3 linked regions of the Callithrix jacchus genome follow. The protein of the gene in region 2 purifies or fractionates together with the protein of the main gene of each other region. This does not show direct contact. Links are inferred from orthologs where the notes say so. Each region holds a gene or a part of one and is shown on either strand. Other genes may lie near its edges.

The links.
Region 1: the proteins of EPS15L1 (region 2) and ITSN2 purify together in Homo sapiens (affinity purification with mass spectrometry; 5 studies listed by BioGRID and IntAct, with this or other methods). This does not show direct contact. The link is inferred for Callithrix jacchus from reciprocal best matches to the Homo sapiens genes EPS15L1 and ITSN2.
Region 3: the proteins of EPS15L1 (region 2) and ITSN1 purify together in Homo sapiens (affinity purification with mass spectrometry; 4 studies listed by BioGRID and IntAct, with this or other methods). This does not show direct contact. The link is inferred for Callithrix jacchus from reciprocal best matches to the Homo sapiens genes EPS15L1 and ITSN1.

Annotation. Positions count from the first base shown.
Region 1 is NC_133515.1:90,871,982-90,876,318, forward strand, and holds the start of ITSN2 (intersectin-2), read left to right. Parts: upstream 1-1,526; 5' UTR 1,527-1,690; intron 1,691-1,940; exon of another isoform or gene 1,941-2,172; intron 2,173-2,683; exon of another isoform or gene 2,684-2,912; intron 2,913-4,337.
Region 2 is NC_133523.1:15,035,782-15,039,427, reverse strand, and holds part of EPS15L1 (epidermal growth factor receptor substrate 15-like 1), read left to right. Parts: intron 1-1,617; coding exon 1,618-1,775; intron 1,776-3,646.
Region 3 is NC_133522.1:39,846,226-39,849,871, forward strand, and holds part of ITSN1 (intersectin-1), read left to right. Parts: intron 1-1,494; coding exon 1,495-1,757; intron 1,758-3,646. UniProt on the Homo sapiens protein: Adapter protein that provides a link between the endocytic membrane traffic and the actin assembly machinery. Acts as a guanine nucleotide exchange factor (GEF) for CDC42, and thereby stimulates actin nucleation mediated by WASL and the ARP2/3 complex.

The sequences.
Region 1 (4,337 bases), on a different chromosome or scaffold from region 2:
GTCCTGTCGAGATCTGGCACCTCCTTTAGAAGGAAAGAGGACTCAGGGTGAATAGCACCAGGTCTAGAACCCCAAAACACAAATTACATTGGTCAAAGGACGGGAGAAAAATGAACACTGGCTATTTGCCTAACAGGAATAAAAAATAGGTTTTACCTCTCAGGCCGACTCTCTGGAGCACTATGTTGAGAAGGATTCTGGGGCCTTGACTCTCAAATATGAGCCCCAAAAGCGGGTATCAGTTAACTGGTGAAGTCTGCAATGGGAATGAGGCCATGTGCTCAAGATTGCTGTCCTTGGCCTGGGTGGTTTGTTTGCAGATGAGGACAGATTGGTTGGTCCCCAGCAAGTGAGGGGACTCCTAGACTGATAGAAGAGTCAGGCCTCTCTGTGTCACTGAAGCTCAGGACCTGTCTGTCAGGTCTCAGTCAGGTTCTAATCAAAGACTTAGGAAAAACACTGAGTGTGAGAGCGGGACAAGCCTGTTTATCATCATCAATGTTTGCTAAATTCCTTGTGAGCTGGCTGACCAGTTCAGATAGGCCTGGATTTGCAGCCCTCTCACCTTCACCTGCCTCAACAGGTAAGGAATGAGAAGATGCCATGGGGCCATTTGATCTGGCTCAAGACATTATCTTACTCAAGGAGAAGAAAATGTCAATACTAGAAAAAAATAAAAAAGCCTGGCCAGACTGGACCAAGCAATACAAAATGATCTGATCCACTGTATATTTTAAATTAAAACACTGTTGCTATCTAAACCCAGAAGAGCATGGCCTGTGTTTCTCTAACAAAGATCAAATCATGGGGATACCAGTTTTGGATGCTGGACCCGCCCTCGCCCTCCTCCTAAAAGCCAAAGAAATCTTGGGTCTTGGCCAGGTGTGGTGGCTCATGCCTGTAATCCCAGCACTTTGGGAGGGTGAGGCAGGCAGATCACGAGGTCAAAAGATCGAGACCAGCCAGGCCAACATGGTGAAACACTCTCTACTAGAAATACAAAAATTAGCCAGGCATGGCGGAGGGAAGGAAGAAGGAAGGAAGAAGGAAGGAAGGAAGGAAGGAAGGAAGGAACCAACCTTGGATCTTACATTCCAAAATCTTGAGTCTTACATTTGGTTATGTTCATTAGGAAATACTAACTCCTACCTCACCCCAATCAAAAGAAAGCCTTTCCCTTAAAGGAGAGCCTGGTGAAGGGCAAGACCAGGAACTGGGAGGGGAGAAAAAGGAGACACATTCTGAGTTTGAGCTAAAACTGTTCCTTGGCTATGGGGTGGGGAAGAAAGTTGAGCTTTGGCGCTCTCTGGGCACAGAGTCTTCCTGCTGCTCCTGGGAGTGTGAATAGGGTAGAGGGTGCTCCCCGGGGACGCTCTGCGTGTGTCAGGAGGAGGGCAAAGGTTAGTGAATGGATGACCCTCAGGTATGATGAAGTCCTTCAGATCCCAGAGAAGGGTTGAAGAGGCAATAGAACCTCCTTCCCACCTTCCACCCCCCAATTCCCAGAGAACTCGTGCCCCCAGATCAGTGGAGCAAATTTCGGCGAGTGCGAAGGTTCCAGGGAAAGCCCCGTGTGGGTGCAACAGGGATGTGCCAGGCACTGCTTGGCACTTTCCAAAACCCCGGGGTCTGTCGTGGCAGGAAAAGCACCACCCAAGCTTAGCATGTCACCTCAGGGAGGAGGAGCCAGGTGGGTCTCCGCAGCTCCAGGAAGGGCTGCCAGGTCTGGGGCTTCGGGGCTTCCCCGAGGGCAGAGAGGAGCACTTCGGGCCCTAGCGATTCCGAGCCGACCTTCAGGGATCAGTGCTCCGGAACTCCGGGGGCGAGGAGCCACGCCCGGGCAGTTTCGGGCTCCCGAGGGTGGGGAGTCGGTGCCCGGCAGCGGGCGGGCCGTCTGCTGCCCGGCCCGGCGCCTACCTCCCCGCCCCCCGGCTTCCTGCGGAGGCCGCGGCCGCCATGTTGTTGTGGGGCTGAGGCGGCGCCCGCGGAGCCCAAGCGGCCGTGACAGGCTACGCAACAGGTTCGCTGGCGGCGGCCTGACGACCAAGCCGGCTGCAGCGGCGGCGACGGCGGCAGAGCAGGGTCTCCCAGCGCCTGCCCGCTCCCAGGTTGCTGGTGCCGAGGAGCGCGAAGTCGCGCTGTGACGTGAGGGAGGAGCGGCGAAGGCGCCAGGTGGGTGAAGCTGCTCGCGGGGCTGCCGCAAGGCGAAGGGCAGGTGCGGACGCTGCGCCCGCCGCCTCGAGGCTCCGCGGGTTGGGCTGAGGCGGCTGCGCGCTCCGCACGACGGGGACGGGTCCTCCGGAGTACGGAAGGCCCCCGAGCTAGGCCCCTAGCGGGCTCGGCGGCGGCGGGCGGAAGCCTCTGGCCCCGGGTTCCTTCCCTTGCCGCCGGGCCGGGGCGGACGCCGAGGGGGCCTGGGCTGGGCTTCCCCTTCCTTGCGGCCGAACCCCGGCCCCCGGTCGCGGCCTCGTCTGGCAGGTGGCGGACGCCGGCGAGGGTCGGGGGCGGCGTGGCCCCTAGCTTTTGGGGTGCGAGCAGAAGAGAGCTCTGGGGGCACCCGCACGTCTCCTCGGGGACCCATTTTATTTTCGCGGAGTTGGTTTTCCTTGCTGGCAAGGGTTGGTGCGGAATGTCAGGTGAGCCGCATCCCGGTGCGTCAAAGTAGCCCGAGTCACGAGAGGCCAGTGGGCGGATGCTTGGCGTCCACGGCTCGCGTTCCGCGGGAGTTGGAAATGTTAAAATTTACCTTCAGCGTTATTGACTTCCAGGGTATACAGGAAGCACCGAGCGATATAATTTCTCAGGACAGATAAAGTTTATTGCTTTTTGTTTGTTTTAAAGACGTCTGCATGTGCATAGCGAATGGGTAAACCGAGGCTGAAACTGCAGATGGCTTTGCATTCTGTAGAAAGGTAATCCATTGGGATTTATTAATTATGCCCTTTGTCGCTCCAGAATTACCAATGGCAAGTGTGCTTTGTTTGAAACTTGTGTTAATAATGAAATAGGAATATTTTTTGATAGAGCCACCCCTTTATGATGGGAATTGTTAGCAGAGAAATAACTTGCTGTGCTTCACGCTTCTGGTTTGTTTCACTAGTGTTTGCTTGCTTACTCAGAAATAGGCAAGGTGTGACTTGAACTTTTGTGTTTGTTAGTCAGCTCAGTTTAGGTAGCATAAGCTCTTGTAGGTTAAAGCTTCTTAAGAGTTTCAAAAAATTAATTGCCTCTCTCTCTGTGCTAGTTTGCTATATTGTTAATCAGTGATAAAACCCAAAACCTACCTAGAAACATCAGATAAAACATTTACGTGAATTAATGACATCCCTCAAAATTTAAAGATACTGACAACTCTGATGTGTTCACCTTTAGGTTTTTTTGGCCGTGCCTGTGATGCTCTTGTAATTTAAAAAGTAAAGTGGATGTATTTTATGTTTTTGAAAATGTGGAAGAATGTGCATTGTAGTATTAATAAGTAGTTGAAAAGCTTGCATTTTTTCACCCTTCCATGCATTGATAACTATTCCCTGTGCTCACCTTTATAATAATGACAGGTAAACTCGTCGGAGAAAACTTGACCTGTACAGAACTATTGAGCAGGGAGGTACCATTGTTCAGTACATCTCAAGGCTAAAATCTTGATCTCTCCTGAATATGAGGAGGTGTGTTAGGCGTGTTCTGGGGATTGGATTAATAGTGTTACAAAATTGGTATTTTCACAAAAATAGCATGTACCCCAACCATAAGTCAAACTCGGCAGCTTTCAGCAAGCTTTTCTTTTTTCTTTTAAAAAATCATTTTACCTTATATAGTCAGTATATCTTTTTTTAAAAGTAGAAAATTCCTTATGAAACCTTAGGATTTTTAGTTTTAATGTATTGTAGAGTGTCACAAATGTCCATCTTCAATAAGACAAAAGGGTCACATATTGGCTGTATCCTTCAACTATACTTTCTTCAGTATTAAAATATGTTTACCATGGTTGTCATTTATCAAAACTGTAACTGCATGTTAAACTCTGTGCTGTTTTACATAATCATTTAAAGCTTACTAAGACCCTAGGAGTAATTATTATTCTCTCATCAAAAAGATAAGTGAAATGTAACCTGAAGTTTAACTGACAACTCTAGGTCTCTGAGCTAGTAAGTACAATAGCCAGATAGCCAGGTTTCAAGCCAAGATCCTTTTAACTTCAGCACCTGGGCCTTATCTGGTATAGTCATCTTGGTTCATAACTTTTAAAAAGAGTTATATGGGCCTGGTGCAGTGGCTCATACCTGTAATCCCAGCACTTTGGGAGGCCAAGGTGGGTGGATCACGAGGTCAGGAGTTCGAGA
Region 2 (3,646 bases):
TCAGAAGCCTGTTAGATCTGGACATCACAGGAGACTTGTTCATGAAGAGTAAATGAGTTTATCCATTGTTTCCCAGCCTTGACCATGAGTCCTTTCTCCTCCTAATCCTGTGGACATCTTCGGGTTGGCAACACTGTGAGAACTCTTTAAGAGATGGAGTCTTCCTCTGTCGCCCAGGCTGGAGTACAATGGCATGATCTTGGCTCACTGCAACCTGTGCCTCCCGAGTAGCTGGGACTATAGGCATGCGCCACCGTACCTGGCTAATTTTTGTATTTTTAGGAGAGGCAGAGTTTTGCCATTTTGTCCAAGCTGGTCTTGAACTCCTGGACTCAGGTGCTCTCAGCTAGCCTCAGGAACGGAACCAGCCTCAACCTCAACCACCTTGGCCTCCCAAAGTGCTGGGATTATAGGTGTGAGCTACTGCACCTGGCTTAGGAAATCCTTTCATAACTAAGAGGAATGACTTTGAGTGGCAGTTTCAGGCATCATGGCATTCACTGAAGGTGAAGTGTGGGTGGCGCTTTTCTGTACAGTCGCTGGAGGAGGAACGATGGAATCCTCCAGCCGTATATGCCCTTCCTTTCTTTCCTTCATCATCTCAGGTGTTTATTCTCATTGCTATTATGAGATTGTTTAAAAGGAGTGATTTGTATAAATACGACAAAAAAAAAAACAAAAAACGGGAAGAGGAAAAGCATGTCTAGAGTTCAGAACACAGATTCCGTGGACTGTGGTGTGATGGGTATGTTGGAGGCCCCGCGGCGATGCAGGCAGAGTGGGCCACAAAAGGGGCCTGACCCTGAGTGCTGAGGGGCCTTGATGCCTCTGAACCAGGAGGTGACCAGGCCCTGGTTGACCCACAATGGCGTTTGCATCTCTCAGGCTAACTGTGAGCTGGTGGTGAGGGGCTGCAGGTGCAGCAGGTGGCCCAGCCCTGGGGCTGTGAACCTCAAGCTGCACTGGGCTCGTGGCTCCGTCTGCCCTGGCAGGGTTGAGGCTGCGTGAATGGTGGTGGGGCCTTGTGGGTGGTGGCCCTTTTGGATGGTGGGATCTTATTTGTTACCTGTCAGTGATGTGTGTGCCCTGACATCTTGGGGGGGGGGGTTTGTTGTCTCAGGATTGAGGTCAGGGATGTAGAAGGGTGTTCTAGAGAGTCCTGGGATGGGTTGCTTGGCTGCCTGCAGGGAAGCCTCTGCGGGTGGAGGAGCAGGAAGTCCAGGGAGGCTGGCCTGTGGCCATCCTGGCTCTAAGGGGATGGTCCTTCCAAATGAGAGTGCTCGAGAGGGTCTTTCCTGGCATGCTGGAATCCATCACATGAAGATCACAGCCTCCCTCACGCCCTGGGTGGCAGGGTGATGGATAAGGACAGTGGGTAATGGGGTGCAGAGAGGCACAGACTGGTGTCTGGGTGAGCTTCTCAGAGCCAGCTTCAGCCTATCTCCGCATCAGTTTCACTACTTACAGAACAAAGATACTGTCTGCCCTCTTAGCTCATGGAACTGAGGAGACTTTGATGCCAAATGTGCATGGAAATGCTTTAATCACCTGTCATCAAAAATCATGTGTGTGTGGGTCATCAGAAGCTTCCGGATTAATCGCCAAAAACTGTTTTAGCCAACAGTTAACTGGGTGGTGCCCGTGGCTGACAAGATGCGATTTGATGAGATATTCCTGAAGACCGACTTGGACCTGGACGGCTATGTGAGTGGCCAGGAGGTGAAGGAGATCTTCATGCACTCGGGCCTCACCCAGAACCTTCTAGCACACATATGGTAAGGCCGGACAGGTGGCCATTGTGGCTGTGGGTGGCTCCAGGGGGCCTGTGGGTGGAGACCTGTGGGGGGTGGTGATCAGGGGGCCCCCCTTCAGCTGTTGCAGGCTTCTGCTGTGTCTGGCGTCCTTTATTCTCCCTGGCCTGACAGAGGCTGAGCAAAGTGCATGTGCCAAAGCTCAAAGCCTGCACTCCGTGCTGGTCAGTTCACGGTCTTCCGCTAGGAGGGGCCTCTGACCCCTCTCAAGAGCTCCTAGGCCATCTACTTACATAGCTGGGCCTTCTTCTTACTGGCCATGATGCTGGTTCTAGCAGGAGGCCTGGTCTTGGCCACAGCTGCCTTTGGGAAGTGTGGGCAGCAGGGCCGTGGGGCCTCTAGCAGGGTGACCTAGGCAGCCAGGGCTGCTGCTGCCTCCCATGGGAGGCCCTGCTCTGGAAAGGTCAGTGCCTTGGCTCCCGGCAGGAGGATGAGCATAGGGAGACCCTGTCTGCACCTCAGGGCCCAGTTGAGGAGCCGACCTCACCCCTGCCTTCCCCAGGGCTGGACACAGCCGGCATCCTAGGGCTAGGGCACTCCTCTTGCCGTTGGCCAGGGCTGAAGTCAATTTTGAGCTTGTTGCTCAGAGCCTTGTGGCCTTAGAGAAGGCTTCACTTGGGAGAATTGCCAGATAATTCTCAAGAGGCAAATCCTCCCAAGCAGAGCAGTAAAATTCAGGGTGTTGCTTAGTGGTTTGGGAGAAATGACTGTCCTTAGTGGTGGTTCACAGATGACCACACTGTGAGGTGAGAGCCTGAGAACCTGCCATCCCAGAGGTGTCACCCAAATGGCCAAGCCGCCTCCCTTGGACCCACTGTCCCTTTTAGAAACCAACAAAACACAGTGTTCCCTTTATGACTCTGCATCCAACACACACACGATTCCCATTAGTGCCCTGACACCCCAACTGTGATGTCAAGGGGGGAGTACAGGGAAAGTAATTTGTAATGCATGCTGCAACTGGTGCATGATATAGCGACATGGAAATGACACAGGAAGTGACGAATCCACCTGGATCAAAAGGAGGAACTCAGACCTCATTCCATGCGGCCAGCAAAGGGGAAGGAAAGGATGATCGAGCTCTAGAATAAACAACCATGAGGAAAGAAGTCTAGATGTGTCTGCGGGTGGCTGGGGCGGGGGCATGGCCCACTGTACACGACATACCAGGGGGACTGGAAGGAGCGGGAGCGTGAGGACGGAGGCTTTGTCTCTGCAGTGGCCGGCAGCGTACGGGTCAGCAGAGCAGCATGTGGTGTCAGAGCTGGATGGCTGATGACTGAGCCACCCCCAAGCCTGCTTCTTCGTCTTTCTCTTGGAACCCTCCACAGGAGATGGCAGGAGCAGAGAAGGGGCGGGAGTGGAGAGGCAGCCGCTGCTCCTGAGCAGGCTTGGGCCCGTGGGGGCAGACTGGGGAGAGACAGTGGCAGTGTGAAATCGTCACGGCCTGGAACTGTGGGGGCCACTAGGCATTTTAAAGCAGCCTTTATCCACAATGTTCCTTGAGGTCTGCTCAATCTCCGCAGTTGTGTTAACAGACTGCATTTGGGCATCAAGCCCCAGCTCTCTTTTGCCAGAGGGGGAATCTGTCATGGCTTCTGCCGTGGCGACATGGGAGGTGGGAAATGAGTCCCACGTTGAGAGGGTGACCTGGGTGAAAGACATTTTTCACAGATGCCAAGGCCTAGTCCTTACTCCACAAGGGTACCTTTCCTTCCTGGCTGGCTCTTTTTTTTTTTTCCCCCCCGCCTAAAGACAGAGACTCACTCTGTTGCCCAGGCTGGAGTGCAGTGGTGCAATCTCGGCTCACTTTAACCTCTGCCTCCTAAGTTCAA
Region 3 (3,646 bases), on a different chromosome or scaffold from region 2:
CTCCCCATCCTTCCGTCCCTCCAGCCCCTGGCAACCACCAATCTGCTTTCTGGGATTTACCTATTGTGGATATATTATACAAATGGAAGCATATATGACCTTTTATATCTGACTTCTTTCACTTGGCACAATATTTTTGAGATTCATCTCCTTGCAGCATGTATCATAACATCATCCCTTTCTGTGGTAGAGGGACTTTGAATTTTTTTCTTTTGAGATGGGAGTCTGCTCTTGTCACCCAGACTGGAGTGCAGTGTTATGATCTCAGCTCACCGCAATGTCTGCCTCCTGGGTTCAAGCAATTCTCCTGCCTCAGCCTCCCAAGTAGCTGGGATTACAAGTGCCCAGCTAATTTTTTTTGTATTTTTAGTAGAGACAGGGTTTCACCATGTTGGCCAGGCTGGTATCAAACTCCAGACCTCAAGTGATTTGCTCGACTTGGCCTCCCAAAGTACTAGGATTACAGGTGTGAGCCACAGCACCTGGCCGGGACTTTGAATTTTAAGATATCAGAGTAGAGAATATCGCCTCCTCTGAAATCACCAAAGATGTAAGAAGAGCAAGGAAACCAAAACATACTTGTGCTCTTTGATCTCTAATCATTGACTACAGTACGTGAAGAAAGTCTGTCAAAAGCAGTGAAGTCCAAACAGGAGTGTGGGAAGAAGCCAAAGAAGGATGCTCACAGCTGCAGGTCTCAAGGCAGAGGGAGAGACGATGGTTCCTAGATAGACATGTCCCAGGGCCTGGCATCCTGCACAGGCCAGCAATGAGTGCTCCCCTGACTGGGATTGGTACCAAGGAGGATTGTGTGAGGCCAACATGGAAATGAAATAGACACTGCTGAGGATAGTAATGATGGAATTATAGAAAATGAAGAAATAAAATGGACATAAACAAAGTATTAGAGAAAAAAATGATAGAACTGAGTAATTATTCTAAATTTATAATTGACGTGTCAAAGAAGGAAACTGAATAATGAGTTAAAATTGTTGACTGACTATGATCTCCATAAGGATCAGGGCAAAGCTTGTTCTTCAGTGTGAAAAGCGGAATGCTCACTTTTTGCTCTGCTTTGAGAAATCTTGTTAGATTAGAGGACTCATTGGCACAGTTATAAGGCAACGGGAAGGAGAGAGAGAGGCAGAGACTCATGGTCCAAAAGAGTGGGGGTTAATTGCTAGGGCAAGCTCATGGGAAGAAGGGAGAGGATGGAGTAACAGGGAAAGAAAGGAGTCTGGGTGATGATATAGAAGGTGATGATGCTAGATAAGGATCTTTTACAAACAGTGTTTGGCGTGGAGGAGAGAGGATATAAGCAGAGAGGTTGTGCAAAGGGCATTTTCGTTGTGCTCATTAACAAGGGCACAGAAGCTTAGGGAGTTCTGGGCCTGGTTTTGTTCTACAGGTTTCAAAAACACTAGTGAGTTTTCCTTTGAAAAGAGTGTGTTGAAAATCATGAGTTTTCATAGTTGCTGTGTTCCTTGTCTGAAGTAACGTTTGAAGATAAGAAGCGGGAGAACTTTGAACGTGGCAACCTGGAACTGGAGAAACGAAGACAAGCTCTCCTGGAGCAGCAGCGCAAAGAGCAGGAGCGCCTGGCTCAGCTGGAGCGGGCAGAGCAGGAGAGGAAAGAACGTGAGCGCCAGGAGCAAGAGCGCAAAAGACAACTGGAGCTGGAGAAGCAACTGGAAAAGCAGCGGGAGCTAGAAAGGCAGAGAGAAGAGGAGAGGAGGAAGGAAATTGAGAGGCGAGAGGTAAGCAGGCCAGAGTGGAGCCACCCCAAGTTAGTGTGTGATCATCCCCTTTCAGAATTATCCAAGTGATCTATTCATGCCATCTTTGTCTTTCTTTTTATAATGCAGTGGTTTTAGTATATTCCCAAAGTTATGCAACCATTGTCCTGGTCTAATTCCAGAACATTTTCATCACCCCAGCTCTTACCCATTAAGCAGCTAGACCCATTTCTTTCTCCCTCCAGCTCCTATCACTAATTTACTTTCTATCTCTCTAGATTTACCTATTCAGGACATTTTTTTTTAATAAAAGGAATCATCAATATATGGTCTTTTGCTTCTGACTTTCACTTAGCATAATGTTTTCAAGGTTCATCTACATTGTAAAATGAATCAGTCCTTTATTCCTGTTTATGACTGAGTAATATTTCATTATATGGATATACCATTTAATTCATGTGTTTTAATTCATCACTTGATGGTCGTTGTGGCTATTACAAACAATGCTGTTATGAACATTAATGTACCAGTTTTTGATGATACAGTTTTGTAATAAACCACTGATAACGGTGTTTTTCTGGACTGTTTTCTCTGTATAAATCTATATAAAAATATAAATGTTTTTATGGTGGAGAGCGTAAGGATTGTGTGTATACATATATATATTTTGAGACAGAGTCTTGTGCTTTCGCCCAGGCTGGAGTGCAGTGGCACAATATCAGCTCACTGCAGCCTCCACCTCCTGGTTCAAGCGATTCTCCTACCTCAGCCTCCCAAGTAGCTGGGATTACAGGCGCACGCCACCACACCCAGCTAATTTTTTTTTTTTGGTATTTTTAGTAGAGATGGGGTTCCACCATGTTGACCAGGCTGGGCTCCTGACCTTGTGATCTGCCCACCTTGGCCTTCCAAAGTCCTGGATTACAGGCATGAGCCACCGTGCCCAGCCAGGTTGTATAATTTTTTAAACACCACTGTAATTGTGTCATACCAATTACATTGTTCGGCAACCTTCTTTTTAAACTCTTTTAAAAATATTTCTGGGACATCCTATATTCTATGGAAGGCTTCATAAATTTAGCCCCATACCTGGAAAGGGGCTGAGCCAATCTTATCTCTCTTTCCAGTTTATTATGTTACTGCAGAAGCAACACATGGTTCTCTCATGTGAATGAAATATAAAAATGAGGAATTTTTCATTATAAAAAAAATAGCCTGAGTACCATGCCTCAAGCCTGTAATTCCAGCACTTTGGGAGAATAAGGAGGAAAGATCACTTGAGGCCAGGAGTTGGAAGCCGGTGCGTTCTAGGCTGGGTAATGGAGCAAGACCCTGTCTCAAAAGAAAGAAAACTTTTAGCCATAACTCCCTTTTGTTCAGACAGATAGTAACAAAATTTTAATTTTCAGAATGGACAAGCAAAGACAGGCAAACATTACTTTAACGTACAAAAAAAAGATATTCTAGAGTATTTATTCAAAATTATTAATAGACATTTACCAGGTGTACATTGCCAGGTGTAGTTGGAAGACCCATGAGTCAGAGGCAATTCTGATAAACTGTCAGGTGCTCTGATATGTACTCTACCTAACAGTCCTCAGAGCCGGTGTTGGAGAGGGCTAAAGCTTTTGTGGTAAAAAGGAAATGAATGATTAGGAAGGGGGGAGTCACAAACTTTAAAATGAATTAAATAATAATTTCTCCTTTGGTGGAATAAAATCAAGTTTTGTTTGTTTTTGTTCAGGTGTGTTTTAGTTTGATTCTACTAGGTGAAATTTTCCTTCTCAGTGTGTCAGTAAATAAGGAGAACTTTTAGTTAGCACATCAAGCATTCTTGAAGACATAAAGAATGGAATTCTAATGGAAAAATGATTCTGTCAGTTCTCTTCTTACATAAATAGAATAGCTAG